2 linked regions of the Drosophila melanogaster genome follow. The protein of the gene in region 2 interacts with the protein of the main gene of each other region in a pairwise test. Each region holds a gene or a part of one and is shown on either strand. Other genes may lie near its edges.

The links.
Region 1: the proteins of gNacalpha (region 2) and betaNACtes1 interact in a two-hybrid assay, tested with the Drosophila melanogaster proteins (one large-scale study listed by BioGRID).

The regions. Positions count from the first base shown.
Region 1 is NC_004354.4:14,170,236-14,175,457, forward strand, and holds betaNACtes1 (Nascent-associated complex beta-subunit-like, testis 1), read right to left. Parts: upstream 2,390-5,222; 5' UTR 2,307-2,389; intron 2,253-2,306; 5' UTR 2,236-2,252; coding exon 1,450-2,235; 3' UTR 1,252-1,449; downstream 1-1,251. Other genes in the region: CG12480 (uncharacterized protein), read left to right, coding at 1-1,213; CG1368 (uncharacterized protein), read left to right, coding at 4,592-4,594, 4,736-5,222.
Region 2 is NT_033779.5:1,034,238-1,039,725, reverse strand, and holds gNacalpha (germinal nascent polypeptide-associated complex alpha subunit), read right to left. Parts: upstream 2,481-5,488; 5' UTR 2,348-2,480; coding exon 1,304-2,347; 3' UTR 1,220-1,303; exon of another isoform or gene 1,193-1,219; intron 1,148-1,192; 3' UTR 1,041-1,147; downstream 1-1,040.

The DNA of each region.
Region 1 (5,222 bases), on a different chromosome or scaffold from region 2:
CGCTGAATACACTCCAGCTCATCTTAAGGCTGCTGTTCCGGCGGCTATTGGTGCTGATACCTATGCCCCAGTTCCGGCTGCTATTGGTGCTGATACCTACACCCCTGAGAAGTTCATTCCCCAGGACGTTCAAGAGGCCCACTACAAGTACAATCAGGAGCAGGAGCAGGGAGCTGCTGTTCCCGGAGGAGATTCCAGCTCTTACCAGCCCGCTGAATACACTCCTGCTTATCTTAAGCAGACCTCTTCTGCCACTGTCGATGCCAAAGTGGTTCCTGGTGGCGATTCCAGCTCCTACCAACCCGCTGAATACACTCCAGCTCATCTTAAGGCTGCTGTTCCGGCGGCTATTGGTGCTGATACCTATGCCCCAGTTCCGGCTGCTATTGGTGCTGATACCTACACCCCTGAGAAGTTCATTCCCCAGGACGTTCAAGAGGCCCACTACAAGTACAATCAGGAGCAGGAGCAGGGAGCTGCTGTTCCCGGAGGAGATTCCAGCTCTTATCAGCCCGCTGAATACACTCCCGAGCACTTGAAGGCCGCTGAGGTGGTTCCTGGTGGTGATTCCAGCTCCTACCAACCCGCTGAATACACTCCAGCTCATCTTAAGGCTTCTGTTCCGGCGGCTATTGGTGCTGATACCTATGCCCCAGTTCCGGCTGCTATTGGTGCTGATACCTACACCCCTGAAAAGTTCATTCCCCAGGACGTTCAAGAGGCCCACTACAAGTACATTCAGGAGCAAGAGCAAGAGCAGGGAGCGGCTGTTCCCGGAGGAGATTCGAGCTCTTACCAGCCCGCTGAATACACTCCAGCTCAACTCAAAAAGTCGGTTGTAGCCTCAACCGCTGCCTCTGCTATTTCTGGGGCAGATTCCAGTTCCTATCAATCCGCCGTTTCCCAGACGAGCTACGTTAATAGCCAGGCCAAGACAATCGTGGCCGGATCGTCTAGCAGTTCCTACCAGAGCGCCCAACCCATCGCCGCCTATGTCCAGGGACAAACCCCAGTCGTCATTGGAGCGAACACGATCACACCTGCCCATCTGTACGAGGAACCCACATCGAATGGCATCGAGGAGTTCAATCCCGATACCCATGTGCCCGTGGCCATTGGTGCCGACACCATTACTCCTGCCCATTTGCAGGCCAGCTACTCCAAATCCGTCCAGGAGACCCAGTACGCGTCGAACGGCGGCTATATTTACTAAGACAAATAACTGAGAGCCACAGAGTCTAATATAATCTTAAATTTATAACTTTTTTTTATTTTGGAACTATAGATCATTAAAATTTCCATAAGTGTAGAGAAAACCAATGCTTTCAATAAACACCAAGAGATTAAAGTACAAATCTATAGAATATGGAACCTTTTTCTGTCTCAACTTTCTCAATTCATACGATTTATTTTTGAAATTGGTACAAATGTAGCAACAAATGAATATGCCTAATCTTCGTCCTCTGAGACCTGAACGCGATAAGTATTTGGATAGAGCTGCTCCGTCAAATAATAGTAATTGGAGTAGGAGGACAGGTAGATCGACTCCGTAGTGTCAACGTCCTCCTTGCCGTCGGAATCATCGCCGAAGCTTCCCAGCGAATCTTTGTCGCAGACTATGGTCCGATCCACATCAGACTCATCCGATGGCACCTTCTCATTATCCGGATCGCTGCCATCTTCAGAGGAGATCAAAATTGGTTTACCATTGCTAAGCTTCGGCTCCGAATCCCAGCCAGCCATGGCTGCGTCCTCTTTGTTTTTGGAGAGCATCATTTGGACCTTCTTGTTGCGAGGACGAACACGATTGCGCGGCTTCTTGGGCTTCTTGGCCACCTTAATGGACTCCTCTGATTCTGGCTTTTTGTCGGAAAAAGCTTCCGGCTTGGGTGGCTTAGGTGGCATGGGTGCCTTGGGCGCATTGGCTGCCTTGGCCACTTTCGATGGGCCAGCTGTTGACGACTTGCGCACGAAATCGCCACTAACCACGAAGAAAGAATTGCCAGCGGTGCTCTGAACCCTGGGCATGGTTAACACAACCTTACTGGAATTGGTGAACTCGATGGTCACCTCCTCGATTTCGTCGATATTCTTCAACGGCAACATGGCCAATGTGGCTTGCACGCGCTTCTCGGCCGCAGCCGAGGATGGGAATCTCTTATGCTTGCGGCGCATAGATCCTTTGCCGCCGATGCGCACCACCTCCTCCATTTTCTTCAGCTTCTTGAAATCCATTGTTTCGTTAGGAAAACCTATTAACTTGTATGGGTAAAGTGCGTGGAAAAGAATTCTCTTGAAATGCTCACCTTGAAAATGCTGTGCTTTACAAATTAATATATTAATTAATATAATATTAAGTAATATTCGCTTGGAGATGTGAATCAACTGAGGTCCTCACGCCAAATCAGAAATGTGACTTTTAGACTGCAAAGTCATCGTCTTTTTTTTTTGAGTTTTTGACACGTGCTAAAAGGGTTGCCAGAGCTTTGTCATGTCCTTGCAGATGGGAACTCTAGACTCGAATATATAAATATCTAGAGTAGATATTGTCGACATCGATTCTTAGGTGCAGATGACCGCACGTCGTGCCTCAAGTAATCAATTTTGCATTAAACATAAACATATAAATATTAACTTTTAACTATGCATGTTTTTTTATCATTTTTATGAAATATAGTTTTTATTGTGTATATTTTCTTTTTTCGGAAAATGTATGTTTTAAGTTAAAAAATTAATACTAACAATTCCAGATCGAAACTTTATTTTATTTATAAGTTGAAATATGAATGTACTTAATATATAAATATTAATTACTATTTTCCAACATTAATTACCTCTTGTTGAAAAGGATAACTGTTTGCAGTTCTCAGAATGGCCATGGTTAAGTTAAGTTATCACCAATGAACTCTGAAATTTCCATCACATTTTGCTTGGCATCGTCATGCTTGACATTTCCTGCCTTTTTTACACTTGAAGATAATTCATCAACGTGATCATAAATGAAATCGATATAAAAATGGATTTTAATTATTGACACAGGCGAATCACAGGCGAATCATATGTGAACGGGCTATAAATCGTCAATAGGTTACCCACCTTGCGAATATGATACATAGATAATCTTAAAAAATTACTCTTTATGTTTCTATGCTACAATGTTGCAAGAGAATCAATACGTTTGATGGATTTGAATATTAATTCAAAAATTGCAAAGGTCTTGCTAAAAATTTATTGAATTGTAAATTTCTGGCTGTGCTGCATTTCAAGTTCACGGACAGTGGAAAGACGCTCGAGATGTGGCAGCAAGTAAAAGTTGTTACTTATTATGTAAAGACCGCTGGGGAACTCGTAACTCTGGCGGCCGGCGTCTGTTCTCAAGGCCATCTTCTGTCGGTCTCCACTGATGGGTTTTGTGTGTTTATGGGTTTTTAGAAAGTGCGAGTGGGGCTCCGTTTTTCGAAACACGACGTTCTGTGGGGGCCATCAATCTGGGCGAGTGTCTCGAACGAGGCCAAATGGATCTCTTTTTGTGCGCCGGCCCATTTCTGCGGTTGAAACAAGAAAAATGGTTGCTCCGGTGTATAATGTGTTAAATTGAATGTTAATTAGTGGAACCCCCTTAGTTTTTTTCCCCCTTTTTTTTGGGCTTTGTGCGGCACAAACCCCCCCCCCCCCCCTCCCTCCCTCCATTCCCCTTGAGTCCGACGCTAATAAGCCAGATTGAAGAGACCACAAAAAGGTGTCCCAAAGTAGTTCACCCGCCGCAAACCCGTTGCGTGGATGGAAAAAAATATAATATCGTAAATGAGCCAAACCCGTTTGCATGTGCGATTTCGTTCGATTTTTATGTTGAATTTAATTTTAATGTGATTTTCCGTTTGGTAGTTTAGCCAGCCCCCTCCCTATATATGCTTTTTAACCTCCGCCCTGATTAGTGTTGCCATTTTAGCCATTTTATTGCCAAAACCATCTAACTAAGTAAGCTCTGCCAATGATCTATGCTAGTTAACGTTTCAAGTTACCATTTTTTTTTCAAAACTCAGTTTTTAAGAAGTAAGTAAATATTTAACAAGTCGGCAGTTTTAAGTTGTAAATAGGTGATTAGCTCAAATGTTAGTATCTAAATCTTTTATATTATTACTTATTTTGCATTGTGCTACCACTACTACTTAATTGAACATTGCAAACGGTCTGGTGTACATAAACAATTATAAGTGAAGCATATTCTTAATTGAAAATACTTAAACTTTTTAACAGTTTTCACAATTAGCTGCCAACTTATGTGGCTATGTCCCCTCAGCCCCTCAGCACCAGTCAGCCGTTTGTTTGTCTTGATTTCATGGTGACGTCTTTTGCGGCGGCTTCTTCTTGGTCCGCTGGCCGCTTAAGCCTGCTCTTCTTCTTGCCCGGCGTCTGCCGTTAGTGCCGGTGTGCCACCGCTGCAGTTGGAACGGGCTCTCCAAAACCGGGGCTTTTCTTCGAAGACGGCCGGCAGCTATAAATTGACTGGCGGCTGGTAGGGACCGGCATCAGTCGCAGCCTCTAGCTCATCCAGCACAGTCGCTTGAAAACGCAGAAACCTCAACTCAAGATGGTCAGTGAAGGATTACAAGTTCAGCTTGAAACAAGGATACATCGATTTAACAATATTATTTGACAAAATTTTTTTTTTTTTTGCGGTGCTTAAAAAATTTGCTGTGTTTGTAATGTGTGAAGTGTGTTGTCCTACTTGCAGAAATTCCTTATTGCCTTCGCCCTGTTCGCCTGCGTGGCCGCCGATGTTAGCCACCTGAGCAACGAGTACCTGCCCCCCGTCCAGAGCTCGTACGCCGCTCCCTCGGTGAGCTACTCCGCACCAGCCGTGCAGCAGACCTACGCCGCTCCAGCCATCCAGCAGTCGTATGTCGCCCCCAGCAACGAGTACCTGCCTCCTGTGCAGACCTACTCCGCACCGGCCGTCCAGAGGACCTACTCCGCACCAGCTGTCCAGAGGACCTACTCCGCCCCCTCTGTTAGCTACTCGGCACCCTCTGTGAGCTACTCGGCTCCATCGGTCAGCTACTCCGCTCCTGCTGTCCAGCAGTCGTACTCCGCTCCATCGGTCAGCTACTCCGCCCCTGCTGTCCAGCAGTCGTACTCCGCTCCATCGGTCAGCTACTCCGCCCCTGCTGTCCAGCAGTCGTACTCCGCTCCTGCCGTCAGCTACTCCGCCCCATCGGTGA
Region 2 (5,488 bases):
CGCTGTTGTTGCCGCTTTCTCCGGGATTTGGTCAGCAAGGAGTGGAAATTGCCGACGCGGAAAGTACTTCAAAGTACCATTTGGATTGGGCAGTAAATTGCGCAGTACGGCTGCCGACTGTCAACTGATTTGTATTTCGGCAGCATCTTCAATTCCGCTGATTAAAGGGAGCCAACTTAATCAATTTCCGGCGGAGAAAGTTCCACGGAAAGGGAATGGAGCCCCAAGAACTTTCCATTCGAAGCCGACACGCGCGGGCACTTTCTACTCGCACTATATGAGTGTACAGAACGAAGAAGGTGAATGCGTCCCACCTACAAAGTTTCCATTTCCACTTTTCCGGCGAAAAAGCGGGCACGTGCTCAGCCGCACGGACTGTTGAGCGCCCACAATGCAAAACTAAAGCCTTTTTTACGGCTGCTGACGACAGCTGAAAATTAAAAAAAGTTCAGTTAGAGCCGGAGCTAGTCATTAAGTGGCTTTTGGGGCCAGAAAAGGGACGTTGAACGTAGTCGAGCCATTTAATTGAGTCAAATGTCCGCGGAGCAGGACTTGCGTAGCCACGTCACCAGCAGCGACGTCACCTGTCTCACCTGGGAGTACCCCTGAAATCCCCTGAAAGAGCTGAAACGCAATCACGGCGTCGTCAAAAATTCGCCAGCAAAAAATGCAAAGTCGAGTGCCGGGGGACTTCGCCAAATGGCTAAAAACTAAGTGCAGAGTAAACAAGAGTGCAGCGTCAGCGGCACAAAGAAAGAAGCGATTAAGTTTCCGCCACAGAGAAAATGTCCAAGAATGACGGTACCTGAAAGGAAAATTGCCAAAGTCTAGCGCTGATGGAAGAGCAAATACGAGTATAATGAAAATGGTTCGGGTTCGCATATGCGTTCTTCGCCCTTCGGAAAATGCTTTCACTGTGCCAAGATGGAAATGGTGGAAATGTCAATTCATTAGAAAATTGAAATAAGATGGCAATTTCGCTGTACAAAGGGGTTCTTCAGTGGGATTCTTCTGCTGGGACCGAAAACATTTTCAAAAACCAGGAAATGATCGGCATTTAATATAGTACGAGCTACATTGGCACCGGAGATTGTCATTCTTGTAGAACAAGCCATCCACCAGGAGAAGTGAAGTCCGAAAGGATTGTCTGGATTACATGAAAGTATAGTAAATAAAAACAACATGAAAGTTTACGATTTGATTGTAATCATTTAATTACCATTAATTTCTATGGCGAACATGGATGTTATTGAAATTCTCTTTATTTCATGACTTTGAATACAAAGGAGCCACTCAGAGCGACTTAACCCACAGTCAGGGCCATGATGGCATTGACCACATCGTTGTCGTTCTTCAGCAGCGCCTGGATCGCCTTTTTGCGCGAGCACGCGGCCTGCATCTGTACCAGTTCGATGTCCTTCGCATGTAGGCCCATGGCATCCGCGTCCTCGCCATCGTTCTCGTCGTCGTCGTCGTCGTGTGGGGACTCCTCGCCAGGGGCTTTTCCATCCTCGTTACCTTGCCGCCCGGCAGGCGAGGTTCCACGGAATCGCTCGGCCGCCTTGACAGCTGCCTGGGAGGCGACGGACGTGGTGCTAGTGTCCTCCACGCAGATCTCCCCAAAGAAGATGTACGTCGACGAGTGCGCCACTCTGTAGACGTCCGGCTGATCGATGTACAAGAGGATGTTCTTGCCCTTCTTCATGGTCACTCGGGCCACGTTCTCCATGGGCTTCAGGTCCAGCTTCATGAGGATCCGGCGTGCCTTCCGCTCGCCGCGAGACTGCTTTGATACCTCACGTGTTCGCACGGCCACCGTACCGAGTTGACCCTGCTCGTCCGGTTGGGTCTCCTTGGGATCCGCTTCCACGAGATCCGGGGCGTCATCGGAGTCCGTGCTCTGATCATCCTCAACTACGCAGGATTTCGCGGCGGAGGCGCCCTCCTCCTTCTGCGAGTTCGGCAGACTGAACACATTGGGCGGCAGCTGTTTGGCCAGGCTCATCAGCTTCTTGATCTTGTTGCGGTAGGCCGGGTCCATTTGACCCATGATGTGGGGCTTCCCCTTTGCGCCACTAAAGCCTGCCGGAGGTTTATTCTTGACATCCAAGGCGTCTTCCGAACTGGAGATCTCCTTCTGAAGTGCCTTTGCGACGTTTGGTTTTTGCGTTGCCTTGGGCTTCCCTTTTTTTCCACTGCCACTTGGTGAGGGAGAGGCTTCTTCGGCAGGCTTTTCTTTGGCCACCACGTTGTCGGCAGCGGTCTTCGATTTCTCGGCAGCGGTCTTCAATTTCTCGGCAGCGGTCGCCATCTGGGCAGCCTTCTTCATTTTCTGCTTCTTACCCATCTTGAGGAATAAACAGCAACTGAGGGATTTGCGATCACAGATTTGCGAGGACAACTTCTCCAAAAAAATTTCCAAATTGGCAGCGCACGTGGTGTGACCTCTTGCGGGAAAGACTTGACAGGAAATATCAGAGGTGAAACTTCCAGTGGCTTGACAGCTGGTGTTGCTCTCTTCGATAAGTGCTGTTGCGAAATTTGGTATACTTATCGAAAAGTTTTTTCATAATGAAAACTGGAAATTTTTTATGCTAATGGCACCTAAATAGCGAAATAAACAATATCAAGTGTTGCTTTCGGAAAGATTATAAGTTTTTAAAATGGCCACTCGGCCATTCGAACATGCAGAGCACGCCTAAGTCTATCGATATCGATAGGTCCCAGTGCAATCGTGAACTGATTATAGGCGTTAGCAGCGCTGCTCTGAAGAAAGTTGGTATTTTTCAAACGAGAATGTCAGCTGCCTTCGAACTGTGCACTTAATTTCGCGGTTATAAAAGTTTTGCTGCAGCGCCTCGCAAATTCTATCGAAATTGATGATTGCAAATCAATCCACTGCAGTGACGTGCTTGAAAATTTTCACCTGACAAAGCCAGTTTAAAAGTGGTGGAGAAATGAAAAGTTCAGCGGTTATTTGGGTAATATTCGAATATGCAAAGTCGTAAAACTCGGATGCCCGGAAAATGCCAAAGACCTGAATCTGAAGCTGGTTCCTCCGTGTTAATTGCTGTCGTGGTCGCACCGCAGTCTGCCTCCAAAGCGGAGCAGCCCCACAAACACGACGCGGTGGAGCAAGCGCGGTTACACGTGCGGTTTTCCTTGCGGTTTTCCGGCTCCCGAATTTCCCAGATCAGGCGGTTCAGGGCGGGGCTGTGTGATCCTGTTTTGCGTTCTGCGTGTGGCGAAAAAACACTTGCTAAGTGCATTAAAAAAGTGCCACGCCCTATTAGGGCGCTCTTCGTGTTACGGAAATTACATCACAATTCGAGACAACCGTACAATAAGAATATGAGCACGTATGGATCAAATCCCCAATGGAGTTAACATAACATTTAGCATAATTTTCATGAATTCTGACCTTTCCTATTTCCTACATAACAGGTATGTGGTAATCGGGAGCATGTATTGCATTTTTTCTGCAAGCCGCTGCGCTCTGTCTGATGATGCGTTTTTAATTGCTCGGTTCTTTTAATTAAAGTTCGAGCGAAAGAAGGGCGTCCACCACCTGCAATTATTAAACTTTATCGTGGGGTCAACGCCTAATTGAGTTGCACAAATTATTCAGGAGAGGCGAATGAAGCAGCAGGAGGAGGACTAGGAGGATGTGGAGGGCAGGAGACCGAGGATGCATCCGGCTGCCGCCGCAGAGTCTGTCCTGTCACCATAATTAAATTCGAGAGGCCAACTAATCAGATATTCCCTTTGCCCAGCCATGAGTCCTCGCATCTTAACATCTCGGTCGATTCGATTCAATGTTGCTCGGTTAAGTTAAGTTCTGCGCGGACTTGGAACTCGGAGACCCGGAGAGCCGGAGAAGGGTGAAAAGTTTTTGGGCGTCCTGGCACGTTCGTCCCATGATTAATTATCCGCCCCATATGCTGCGGTGTCATCTGGGCCCATCCAACTTATTGGGGCTTAGTCTTAGCCTCGAAGTTTAGTTTCTGCTGCCACGGCCTGTGCATGAAAAATGAACCCAATTCGGAGGCCCACCAGGACGAGGTCTTCACTCTCCTTCAAGGCAACGAGGCCCACAGAAGCCGCTTTCTGGGGGCAAAAATCTGTAACGCATTAATCATGCAAGTTTCGAGAAATGATTGAAATCATATTACCATGTCGTAGACATGTTATAACCAAAGATGTTTCCGTAATTGAGATCTTGGCCAAGGCATTCATATTGTGCCTGCTCGAGAGTCTCCTCTTCCCGCTAATGAATTTCATTGCTGATTGATGCTTATTTGGCTTAATTCTATTGTTGTAAGTGAATCAGCAGTCTTTGCTAGGAAAACTATTTATTAAAGGAGTTTGTTTTAGTGAGTTTATAGTGAGTCTGCAAATTAGTTTCGAATAGCACCAAGTTTTTATACATCCTGATGCCGTAGCAAATTTGTGGACATACTGTTTGCACTCCCAATAAAGTAGAAACCCAATTTGTTTTTAGCGTTGACAAGGTCATTTCACTTGGTACCTTGTTCGCTTGATAATTTGACGTTTATTTTGTCGATGGGCCAATCTGGAATGCCACATCTTTGTGCTGCTGTTGATGAGCTGGAATCCCGTTTGGCAGGCGGTATGGCTGTGCCTTCAGAATGAAGTAAACTCTGCCGTCATCCTCTTTCAAAATATGTCAGCCTTGAGCGAGGCTGACGCGCTTATCGCCAAATGACCGAGACGATATCCAGAACCCAGAACCAACAGCATTTCCAGACCCCAACCACCTGCCCATCACGATTTGGAGTCGCTGGAGCGGCAAGGAAAATCAATTTCCCCTGCCGACTGCCAAGGGCTAAGCGAAGTCTGACATTTATTACCATATAAAGAGCAAGAAATACTCGCTAAGCATTCGGCAGCCGGAGCAGGGATCACTGGAGGCCACACCAAGCCCGCACAAAGAAGGAGCAACTAAAAAACCGGAAACTGCAGCGCGACAAATGTGCCCAACCAGCAAAGATTCCAGCCAGCCCCCAGCCCCCAGCTCCTCCAAGGCTTCCCTTTGTGCGCATTGTGTGAAAATATGAAATATGGAAATGCCGGAAAAGCGAAAAGTTGTCCCTGGCACAATAAAATGCAATTTCCCCGAAGAGGCAGCCGAGGCAGCGCCACCGAATATACATTGCTAATTTCCGGTAACAACAATAAGGAGCACCCGAATCACTTGGGCTGTACTCAGGAGCACCACCCACTTTGCGGAGCAGCAGCAGGTCATTAGTGCAAATTCCTGCATAAATTTGTGTAGGGATTTATGAGCCGATGGGAATGGGTTGGTGAGTGCGACATTTCTCCCCCCTAAAAAAACTAATTGAAAATGGAAGCATTGTTTATCCAAATGAAATCTGGCTTCGGGGGGCTCAAAATAGTTGAATGGGGTATAGTATAAATTAACATATTAATATAAGATAATAAGTAATTGCGAGTAATTGTGTCCTCG